Linked DNA regions of Drosophila melanogaster. The protein of the gene in region 2 purifies or fractionates together with the protein of the main gene of each other region. This does not show direct contact. Each region holds a gene or a part of one and is shown on either strand. Other genes may lie near its edges. The genes, in order: CHKov1 and CG11191.

The links.
Region 1: the proteins of CG11191 (region 2) and CHKov1 purify together in Drosophila melanogaster (affinity purification with mass spectrometry, with the first as the bait; one large-scale study listed by BioGRID). This does not show direct contact.

What each region holds. Positions count from the first base shown.
Region 1 is NT_033777.3:25,323,039-25,330,850, forward strand, and holds CHKov1 (CHK domain ov1), read right to left. Parts: upstream 6,279-7,812; 5' UTR 6,198-6,278; coding exon 6,023-6,197; intron 5,965-6,022; coding exon 5,885-5,964; intron 1,373-5,884; coding exon 959-1,372; intron 891-958; coding exon 524-890; intron 464-523; coding exon 267-463; 3' UTR 118-266; downstream 1-117. Other genes in the region: CHKov2 (CHK domain ov2), read right to left, coding at 6,655-6,845, 6,912-7,103, 7,160-7,334, 7,385-7,812.
Region 2 is NT_033778.4:7,999,778-8,004,043, forward strand, and holds CG11191 (uncharacterized protein), read right to left. Parts: upstream 2,344-4,266; 5' UTR 2,188-2,343; coding exon 2,146-2,187; intron 1,974-2,145; coding exon 1,104-1,973; 3' UTR 713-1,103; downstream 1-712.

The DNA.
Region 1 (7,812 bases), on a different chromosome or scaffold from region 2:
CGCGATTGACCAAATTTGGAGTTGTATTCCCAGTACTTGGTACATACTAATGTATGCAGCCGTAAATATTTGCTGTTTTTAAGATAAGCTATTCAATAAACATTTTAAAAGCAGCTTAATGTTTTAAAAAACTTGTATTTATTTATTTTAATACATTTACAATACTTCACGCGTAGGCTGCACCAAGCTGAGTTAGTTGGATAATGAGGTTTTTTTTGAATATAAGTCGGAGTGTGTTGGAGTCGTATGATGGAATCATTACTTTCCTAATTAAAGTCCAGGGCACCTCGGTTGAGCAGCCAGGGCAGGATAGCCTGCATGTGCTTCCGATAGCGGGGATTGTTGTACATTTTCATCTGGAAGTCCGCTCCCTCGGCGGAATCGCCAACAAAGTTTTCGAAACTGGCGCTCTCCGTTGGATCGACGAGAACGGCTGCCATTACACCTGTGGCCACAGAGTATGCTGAAGAATAATGGACACTAGTATTAAATACATTCTATTATTGTGCTCAGTTATGCATACCAAAAGTTCCGTATTTGTATAGAGACTTATGGATATCTCGCAGGCTTGGCAGTGGCTTGGAATATTTGAGGATTTTCAGGTGCTCCACTAGGTTATCATGGTACACCTTAACGTAGTAATCGAATTTGCTTAGCTTGTCCTCCAGCTTTGTGGATGAAATCAGGAAGTAGTACAAGTCCTGAGCAACAGTGCCGTACTTCGAGACCTGAAAGTCGACCATATACACCTCCTTGATTTTGCCAGACTCATCATACTGAAACATAATGTTATTGGACCAAGAATCACCGTGATTCAGGACGTTGAACTCCGTGGGATCGACTACGCACATCTTAAACAACTCGTCTATCATCACGTCCTTAAGAGCTTTCTAGTGAGATATGATATAAGAAAGTTCGTAAATTACATTTTTATAGCAAACTTCGGGATAAAACTTACGACTTTTTCTATATAGGCCTCGTTACCTTCGTAGGTGCTACAGCATTTGACAAACACCTGTCCCATGCCATTCATCATATCGTTCATCATCGGCCTGTTTTCCTCCTTGAAGAATCCGTTCAGCACGATTTCCGGATACTGACCCTTAGTGGCCACCCTTACGGCGGTTGCAGCATGCCACTGGGCCAACTTCCGGAGAACCCGCTCCGTGTGCGCTTGATCGAGGCCCTCAAGGCGATTGGCGTTCTTAAATCCTTTGATGCACAGATCCTCCAGAGATATGTACTCGGTCTGGGCATTCTTCAGTTCATAGCTCTTGGCTCCAAACGTGACCTCCACACCGGCTGCCTTATAAAGAGCCTCCATCTCAGGAACAACCAGATTGTACATGGTGCGTTCGATTTCGAAGATGTTGTTTTTTTTTTTTTTTTTTTTTAAATTTTTTTATTATTTATTGAATCTTCTCTTTGTGTTAAGAGACTAACAATAAGTGTTCAAATCTTAATCTAACTTAATTAACTTTCACTTAGTGATAGTTTTTTTTTTTTTCATTAATGCCCTAATAAGTTTATTGCTGGGCTGGGAGGTCGTTGCGGTGCAGCCGGCTTTGACTGCATACTCGGATTAGTTTTCTTGCGAGGGGATTTGTATGGGTGGTCAGCTTTTCGTTATACTTCGTTTTTTTCTCAGCTATTACTTCGATTACTAATTTGATTTTTAGGTCTCTGTGTATGTTTTCGTTCCGAAGGTACCACGGCGCTCCAGTGATAATTCTCAGAATTCTTGACTGTGCTCGCTGAATAATGTCTATGTTACTTCTGGATGCGTTGCCCCACAGCTCGGAGCCATAAGTCCAGATAGGTTTTAAGACGGAGTTGTATAGAAGAGCTTTGAACTCCAGACTAAGTGGAGAGCGAGCATTTATGAGCCAGTGGAGGTTCCTTGCTTTAAGTTTAAGATGTTTCGATTTGGCTTCTATATGTTTGCGCCAAGTGAGCCGCCTGTCCAGATGAACACCCAGATATGTTACCTCGTCGGCTTGTGGAATGCATATGTTATTCAAGACCAGTGGTGGGCATGTTTGTTTGTTTAAGGTAAAGGTAACCTGCTTGCATTTTTGAACATTTATTGAAATTCTCCAGTCGGCAAGCCATCGTTCTACAGATGTTAAGTGTCGGGATAGGAGTGCCGTGGCTTTTATTGGGCATTTGGAGCGACTGAGTATCGCGGTATCATCAGCGAACGTGGAGGTTGTTAGATTGTAGTCTATGGGGAAATCCGCCGTATACAGGGTGTATAAGATTGGACCCAGTACACTGCCTTGCGGCACTCCAGCTTCGATTGCGCAATCGCGTGAAGTGCTTGTATCGCATCTTATTGCAAACACTGTGTTATATAGGTATGACTTCAGTAGCTTATGTGTGTTTTGGGGCAACAGCTTGATTATTTTAAACAAAAGTCCATCAAGCCACACTCTGTCAAATGCCTGCGCGACGTCTAGAAAAATGGCTGTGCAGTATTCTCGATGTTCAAAAGCAGTACGAATTTCTGACGTGATTCGGTTTACCTGTTCGATGGTTCCATGTTTTTCTCTAAAGCCAAATTGATGTGTTGGAAGTGTGTTGTTTATTCTAAGATGAGGGCTAATCCGAAGGAGTAGCATTTTTTCAAACAGCTTTGAAAGACATGTTAGTAAGCTTATCGGTCTATATGATGATGGCTGCGTTTTATCTTTTCCTGGCTTTGGAATCATTACTATGGTCGACTTTTTCCATTTTTGAGGGAAGTATCCAAGCTTGGCGATTGCGTTGAACAACAGGCAGATGTGAAGAATAGCACACTTTGGGAGTTCAATGAGCATTCTTGGAGTTATTAGGTCATAGCCAGGCGATTTTCTTGGGTTCAGTTGCTCTTTGATAACCTTTGCTAGTTCACATGGTCGGAATTCAAAGGGTTCTTGAGGATCTAGATTGGCTGCTATTAAAGGAGGGAGAATAAATGTGTTGGTAGAGGGATTTGGTCGGAATACATTTTGTAAATGGTCAGCGAAAGCACAGGCTCTTTCTTCATCACTTCGAAACCAGGTGCCAGAGGGACTTCGTAGTGGCATAATTGGCGCTATTGGAGTCTTTAGGTTTCTGTGAGCTCTCCAAAGAGGGTACTTAGTGCTGGTGGGAGAGAGTTGCTCGATATATGAACGTTGGCTGTTTTTTTCCTCTTGTTTGAGAGCATTGGTAAGCCTGCGTGTGGCTATCTTAAGCATGTGCTTTGTAATTGGTGATCTATTAGACTGCCAATCCCATCGTAGGCGTCGTTTATCTAATACCAGCCGCTCGATTTCGCGATTAGTTTTGATGTAGTTTGGTTTTGCATACGTCACTGGCGGGGTTGAAGCCTTTGCAGCCGAAACTAAAATGTTTTCAAGAGTTTCCGTTGACTTGTCTATATCCTCCTTTGTAGATAATGCCGTCGTTAGTTCTATGTGTGAACAGACATACTTTTGATACCTTGGCCAGTTTGTTCTAAAATTTGTGAGTCTATACGGTGGGTCGACGATGTGATGGCGAGTTAGCATATTTAGAAAAACAGGTGAGTGATCTGATGATAAATCTGCTAGTGCTTCGGCGGTGACCATGTTGCGGGGGACATGTTTAGTAATTGCAAAATCGATCAGGTCTGGGATTTTTCTTGGGTCTGCTGGCCAGTATGTAGGCTTACCCGGGGATACATAGTCTAGCTTGTTTTCTGGCTTCGTAAGCGCATTGTACAATTGCTTACCCTTTGGCGTCACAAGTCGAGATCCCCAATGGGTGTGCTTGGCGTTATAGTCACCCGCTGCGATGAACCTGTCACCTAGTGTGTTAAAGAATTCCATGAATTGATCCTCAGAGATTGGAAAGCGCGGTGGGCAGTAGACTGCGGCTAGAGTCGTTGAACCATTGTTGAGTTGTAAGGCTATGGACGTAGATTGTAAGTAGTTTTTGTCAAAATTGTTTAAGTGGTGGTGTTTTATGCGATTTCTGATGAGTATTCCAGTGCCTCCATGAGCTTTACCATCTGGATGATTTGTACCATAGAACAAGTATCCTGGTATATGAAAATTGTTTTTATTTGTGAGGTGCGTTTCTGATAGTAGCATTACGTCGATGTTTTTTTCGTAAATGAACTGTGTGAGCTCTTGTGTATGCCGTGAAACGCCATTTGCGTTCCACAGAGATATCCGTAGGGAAGCCATTATGGGGATTTTGAAGATACAAGAAGTTGAATCAGGATATTTTGGTTTTTCATGAGCTCTTGCAAAGTATTTTGCATGAACGTCATAAAGTCTTTCATGCTTTGCTGTAGGGATAGCATCATAGCTTCGATGCCACTTTGTTGTGTTTGTTGGATGTTTGTCGGTGTATGTTCGGAATGAGCAGTTCTTGTCGGTGGGGCGGGCACTTCTAGTCCGGATTTTAGGGCGCTAGCGAAAGAAATTGTTGGAGTAGTGCTTGGGACAGTTAGGGGTGGTTGAAAAATCGGTTGCGGAGAGTAGAAATTGACTTTGTTGTATGTATGTGCTGTGGCAATACGTTTGTTTAGGCGGCTCTTCAATTCTTTGTACACCACACAGCCTCTGTAGTTTGCAGTATGTTTTTCCCCGCAGTTACTGCATTTCTTCACAGACTTATCGTCCTTGTTTTTGGGGCAGTTTGCGGTAGTATGAGGTTCGCTACAGACAACACATACGGACTTAAGGGTGCAGTATGCCTTGGTGTGGCCGTATTCTTGGCAATTAGTACATTGAACTGGATTGATACGTTTGTGCGGCTCCTCCACGGTGATCCTCCGATGTAGCAAGTACTGTAAATTGTATATTGGGTGCACTTCGTTTTTCTTTAGTGCCTGGAGCTCTGGTTCGAGTTCTATTTTGAATAGTGGCTGCGGAACTTTGTCTTTGTTTAAAATATTAATAGCTGTCTTTGCAGAAAAGTTTTTGGCCTTCAGAGCCTCAATTATCTCAGCTGGTGTCACTGTTGCTTCAATGCCCTTAAGTACTACCTGTAGCCCTTTGCAACTTTTTAATTGGTATGTGTAGTAGTTTTTACCAGCATCATTTAGGTATTTAGTCACTATACGGTGGTCTGCTTCTGTTTGGATCTGTAGTTTTATTTCATGAATATTTCCTTTTTTAAGTGGGATAATGTGGAATTTGCTGTCACCAATCAAATCAACGAGTTTATTTACAAGTGCATTTGTACTTTGTTCTCGTATGAAAATTGGTGGAGGCCTGGTCTTTTTTGGTTCCCCTACCGTTTTTTCGTTGGGTTGTTCGGTCGCAGAATCAGCCAAGATAGCATATCGGTTTGAATTATTTACTGCAGAGTTTTCATTGCCGTTGTTGGTTCGATTGATTTTGGGTTGATTACCTGCCTTATTGTTTTGAGGGCTGAGCTTTCTCTTGATTTGGATGTAGCGATCCATGCCAGTCTGCACAGTCGAAATCGACTTCTGCTTTTGTTTTGATTCTTCTTTACGTGCATTATTGTTGTTGCAAACGGTCAGTGCTGCTGTATTATTTACAGCTGGCACAGCGATAATTAGTTGGGCCGCTGACGAAGTTGATGTTGTGGTAGCAGTGGCAGTTGCCAGTGAGGTCACTGCACTCGTTATTGCAGTGTTACAGTTACCCGGGACGGTCGTTTGGCGCTGCGAGAGGAGCGGGGTAGGAGAGGCGGTTTCTTCGCTCCACGACTTGTGAGCCGAAGCAGGCAGAGAGCGAGAGCAAGAACGCGGTCTGACGTTCTCTGAGGGCAAAAGTTTCGAGTTAGTTGAAGGTGAGGGTGCTCGATCACCGATTTGCGGTGAGACGAAAGAAAAGTATGCATTGTTGCGTTGTAAAGAGAGCCGGCGCTCGTCTTGTTCACATTGTCGCTGAGAACGTATGTTGTGCTTCATCATTTCCTTGTTGATTTCCCTTTGACGTGGCAACTTGACCATGTATGACAACTCTTTGGTGGTGCCATCTGGAAGGCAGAAATTTGATGTCAACGGTGCTCCCAGCCAGTCCACTCCCCAACTCACCCTGCAGCTCCACTTCGATATTAACTCGCAACATATTAGTGGCGTAGTTGTCACCTGCCGCGGATCCCATTTCCGCTTTGAAATTTCGCACTTTCGAATATCCGTCCACATTCGATTTGAGAACATCTTCGAAACGTTCAGCGGTGACCCAATCGGGTATTTTGCCAGCCGCCATTGTAGATAATCGGGATAAGTATTTTGAAATCGAGCAGAAAACACATATACGTCCAGTGTGACGGTCTTGCGTAGACTGATGAAAGCCGAGTATTAGACTCTACACATCTGTGGAGCTTTTTAATTTCGTAGTGCGCGGCCGATTTCTCTCGATCTTCTCTCAAAAGCTCCGCTAATTGCATTCTAAATATTTTGGCAGCTGAAAGAGCGTCGTTTGCCTTTGTTTATTTCACAACGAGCGATTTCACTGTAATTCTTCAAATTGAGCCTGCATACAAATTGAAAATAATTTTTTGTAAAACTATGCACATTTATTTAAAAAAACCCTCTCGTATTAGCTTATACTAACACCTAGCATTTTGAGATAGTTTGTGAACAACATGTTTGTATGAATGCAATACAATATTATTATTACACTATTCGTTCTCTAGAAACTTGTTTATCATTGCATCCTCCGTCTATCTTATGTAACCCCGGTTAATGAGCCATGGCAATATGACTTTTATCTGATCCACGTAAGCCGGCAACAGGAACATCTTACGCTTAAACGCGATCGCCTCCTCCGAATTACCCATTACGTTGCCTATATGTGAATCAACATCGGGCGGGAGCAGAACAATTGGAAGCATTCGCTGGGCGCATATGAAAGCTACAAACAAGTAGGTGAGGTTTCAAATAGAATTCCTATGAAAGAAGCTTCTAATAACGATCTTACCCCAGAGACTATATCGGTGTAGATGGGCGTGGAACTTGGATAGTGTGGGTGCATTCCGATTGTAATTGAGCATAGTGAGGTGTTCGACTAGCTGCTGGTGATAATACTCTATGAAATAGTCGAATTTGTCCAGTTTGATTGAAAACTTAGGTGAGGTCATCAGTATGCATAGAAGATCTTGGGCGGGTGTGCCTGGAAAGGAGTATTATTATTACAATTAAATATTTTGGAATTTTCCTTCAGTTTACCATATTTTGGGAGCTGGAAGTCAACAAAGCAAACGTCCTCCACTTCTGAGGCGTTTTTATACTTGAACATAAAGTTATTGCACCAAAAATCTCCGTGGTTTAACACAGATAACTCCAGAGGATCGTTCTTACCAAACTCAATATTCAGATCCGTCAGTTGAGATGTATAGTCGCTCTGAATAAAAATGATTACAATTTATCTAAATGGATATAAAATAATCTCACTATGAGAACGAGCTGTCCTGGCTCAAGATTATATTGCTGCATGCACTCCAGGAAGGGCATACAAAAATTAATGTTGAATTCATCGAGTAATTTCTGGTGCTCAGTAGTAAAGTAACTCTCCCGGATGTCCTTCTCGTATTCACCCAGCTCGACTACTCTTTTTGCAGAGGCTGCGTGCCACTGTGCCAACTTCTTGAGGACCGCCTCCACTTCAAACTGCTCCAATCCCTGGGTTCTGTCGGCATTCCTATATCCCTTCTTCCGCAGATCCTCCAAAAGAATGTAGTCGCTTTTTACCGGCTCTCCTGGAAACTTCAGATGAACAGGCTTGAATTTTGGTGATATGGAAGTGTTTTTGGCATATAGATCCTCCAATTCTGGTATCAGATGATCGTACATGTCCAGTTCGGCATCGAACATTTCGTGGA
Region 2 (4,266 bases):
CATTATTTCTTATATCAGCCGCACGGAATGTGTGTTTAAAGCTAGCAGTAGATTAAAAACAATTAAAATGCGAATGAAAAACAGTATACGGTGGAGCTGATATATTTACATATATATGTACGTTGTGGTTTGACATAACTTTCCCTAATAAAAACTATACTTGAATTATCGTTATGCAAAAATAATTCTTCTGTAGATATCTATGTTAAAATGTTCATTTCAACTCCTTTGTCCTGTCACCCTAAAGAATCCCAATATTGCTATATGAATCCCTATACTATTGTATATACTTTTATATCCCTTTACTATTATATGTTGCAATTTCGCATATAACTGGAAATATCATTAGTTATTCTCCCCCACAAAATGATTTAGTGTAGCATTTCTCCCATTTTCTCGATTAATTTCGATGGTCGAGGCGTAAGCTTGACTATAATGGAGCCCCGTATCAATTTCAAAAACGTACATCAAAATCGAAAATTATAAAAAGTGCTTTTCATTTGATTCGGCATGCTGTCGCTCAGGTTTCGAGTGCGGCAAGCAGCAAAGTGAAAATGCCTAATGTCTAATGGCCAATGCCAGTGGCAGTGCCAGCGTGGGACAAACTCGCTCCGAATCGCCGGAACCCACCCCAAATCAAGTGGATGAATAGTGGCGGGCAAGTTGCACCACCGACAACGGGACGAACCCACGAAATCGCAGCCGTGGCTCGTGGGAAAGCCAAAGGTCTACGGATTCTCACGAGCGTCCAGCACACGTGCGGGTCGTGCGCCGGAATGGATCGATGGATGGATGGGTGGGCGATGAACTTACTCCCACCCACGGGGCACAGGGCATTCGCATTCGTATTCGCATTCTGAAGTGCATTACTCAAGGTATGGAGCCAAAGGTATGGCGCCGCACACACATACACACTTTATTGTTAATGGATATTCTCGAAAACAACTTTCTATAATGAAAATTGCGGTCTACCGACTCAAATACTCGATTACATATATGTATAATATACTCGTATGTAGGTAATTCTCACAAGACTGGTTTTCGTGCTCTATCGCTGGACGCAAAGTGGAGGTTACAAAGCCGCCGAGTGTCCGTTTCCGGTCTCAGAAGCTCCTAAGGCAAAGATTGCAGTTGTTTCCGCCTACTGCATTGTCGTGTCGGTGCAGCTCCAGGCTGAGGGGCTCCGTGTCGTCCACCCAGGTCTCCAGGGTGCAGGAGCTGGACTGGTGGCTGGACTTTTGCGACTGGGAGAGGGATCTGGTGGCCGCCGCCGCCTGCCGCCACCTGGCTTCGAAGTCATCCCAGCGATCGCAGGCGTCGTCGTCCAGGGAGTTCCCGTTGATGTCCCACTTAACAATGGGGAAGTCGTCGTGCGGTGGCTCCATGATCACCACGCTGTGGTAGTTGCCCTCCAGCTTGGAGCCCAGGCTGATACTGCAGGGATGGTAGCGGCTGGGCGTGGGAATCCTTTGCTGCACTTGTTGTTTCCTAGGAGTTGCCTGCTGCAGCACTTGCTGTTTCCGCGGAGTAGCCTGCTGCTGCTGCTGCTGCTCTGGCTGCTCCTCCTTCTGTTCCTCCAGCTGCAGATCCAGACTGGAATTGGAGGGCGTGTGCCGCAGGTAGCGTACATTCGCCTTGTATTTCACCCGCTCGAACTCGATGGTCGTTAGTGGTGTGTCCAACACCTCGTAGTTGCCGCAGCTCATCATGTATTTGGTGCGCAGGTCATGCTTGGCCGCTGGCTGCAGTTCCTCCACCTCCACCTCCTTGGAGGTGGCCAAGTCCAAGGCCTGGTTGCACTCGCTCAGCTGCAGCTCTTCGTAGATGGCCTCCGTCACCGGACAGTTGCTGTTCACATCCAGCTCCAGATCTCGCTGCAGGTTGAGCTCCTCCTCCACCTCCTCGTCGTCCCCGTCCTCCTCGTCCAGCCGCTGGACAAAGAGCTGCTTTGAAGTCGATATCTTGCGCAGGAACTGCAAGGACAGAAATCGATACGGATAAACATAGCGTTAGCGGCCAACGCGGCGTATGATTAACGTGCCGAAAGCACGGGCATGCGAACTTTACTGAACATTCTCATGCGGCGCGGGTCGCCATCGATTTCCTATAGATGGCCACCCATTTGGGCGCCACGCGAGGACTAACCTTCAGACAGGACTTCTTGGTGCGCCTCAGCAAGTGCGACATGCTGACGATGTCTTTGTGTCGCTGTCGCTTTGTACCTCCCTAATTGAACGCTGCAATTACAGTGGCTATTGTTGCCCTTCCATCGGAGTTGCGTCCGTTAGCCGGGGCATTTGCCTCATCGCCGCTGCAACCCGTTGGGCTATCCAAACAAAACTGAACGAGGAAGCGCCGCGGCGAACACTCGCAGGTGGAGCAAGGACGCCCCATGCGGCGCTCCTGCCCAGTGACTCATCCTCGCGACAGCGGCTCGAGTGCACGCAGAAAAATGAAATGTTTGAAGTGGTAAAAGTTGAAAATTTAACTTTAGAAAACCCTAAACACATTGGAATCATGCTATTTAATTCCATTAAATCATTTAAAGATATTTGTAAGCATTGTTTTAAATAAAGAACCTTTAAATGGTATATAGTTGATCTATCGATTAGCTTAAACTCAGTTTTAAGTCTGAAATATTCTGAAATTCTATTGTGTGGTTTTGCCCAGTGTACTGGGGAGCAGTGCAAGCTGTGCCAGCTGAGAGCCTCTGCCGGCACAGGCGCAGTATGATCCTGGCGCACAGATTGGGAATCTCGAGTGGGTCGTCGCTAATGCGGTAATGGCCCGGCTTAGAGCCCACTCCCCCCCCCCTCGACGGAGTCCCTGACCCGACGGCCCTCGAATAGCCGGTCAAGTGTCTGGGCTGGGGTGCTCCGAAGGGCCAAAAGGTGAGTCCGGCTCCCTGATTATAACGGTTCGTGTGCCGATGCGGGCGCCAACTTGACGCTGCCTTCCGTGGCAGGTATATTATGAAACTATTTGCGGAGAGGGTCGCCGCTAAATTTGCGGGAGGTGTCCACGTAACTATGTAACTATGGGAATTGGTGTGCCATGCGAATTGCGTTATAAATAGTGTGTCAATGCCATGAATGCTGAAGTGGAAGGGACTTTTTCCTGTGAACAGAAAATTTATGGTAGAGAAAATAATATAAAAATAAAATATTGGTTGCATTTCTACCACCGACTAAACAAAACAGCGAACTTTTGATTCGAAAACAACAGCCCTTTAGAAAAATGTTAATTACATTTTCACCTCTAAACATGTCCGTTTTGAAAATAGGATACTTTACAAACCGCCATTTATTATTCCGACAAGATTCTTTTCAGGTTTTCGGGGCCTATTTTTTGGGACATTCTCTGGGTTTAATTTTAATCACCTTATAAAATGCTTATGAGATTTTTTGGGACATTCTCTGGGTTCAATTTTAATCACCTTATAAAATGCTTATAAGATTGATCACCGATTAGTGCTAGATTTCAAGAATAAGAATAAATATTGAAATTTGTCAAAACAACAGGGTTATCGCCTAGTAAAGTATATTCATTTAAGCTACAATATTATTAAATGTTTAACTACGTCGATGAACTTGAGTAAAGAAATCGTTTTAAAGTTCTCTTATAAAAAGGAGTGTTTTGATGTGCTTGCTTATCTACAGACTCATGAAAATGTGTGTAATAAACTTGTGTTGCGCAGACGATTTGAGTTTGGTGACCCCGATTCTTCCTCGCATTTGCTGAAATTTGATACTTTCAGGGAGCGAATACTTAAGTACAATAGTTTTTCGAAATATAAACTATTTACTTATGTTTCTCATTTGACTTTCCCATCGACTAGCGTAGTTGCAATGGATTTAGAAAGCAAATCAATTGGCATGGGAAGGGCTGGGACTGACGACTGAACTAATGACATTCGCATGTAAATTTCCGGCAATTTGGGCGAATGATTTAAACGCATTTAGGTGTTAAAAAAGGCGAAACCAGTTTTACAATTCAACATGGCTCGAGTGCCTGGCATTCCAATTCCCATTCCGATTTAGATTTCGAATTTTTTTGTGAGCACTTTTCGGCCTGTCGTCGATTTGACACATCACTCAAAGTGGGGAGTGCTCGCTGCGGTTCGGGTTAGTTTTGAAATCGCATCGGAGCTGGAAAACTGAATTCGAGTGAATGATGACACTCGCAGCAAATTGCAATCGAATCGCAATGATTCGGATGAAAGCGGCTCGCCTCGATTTTTGAGCATGACAAGATATACGTTTCGCG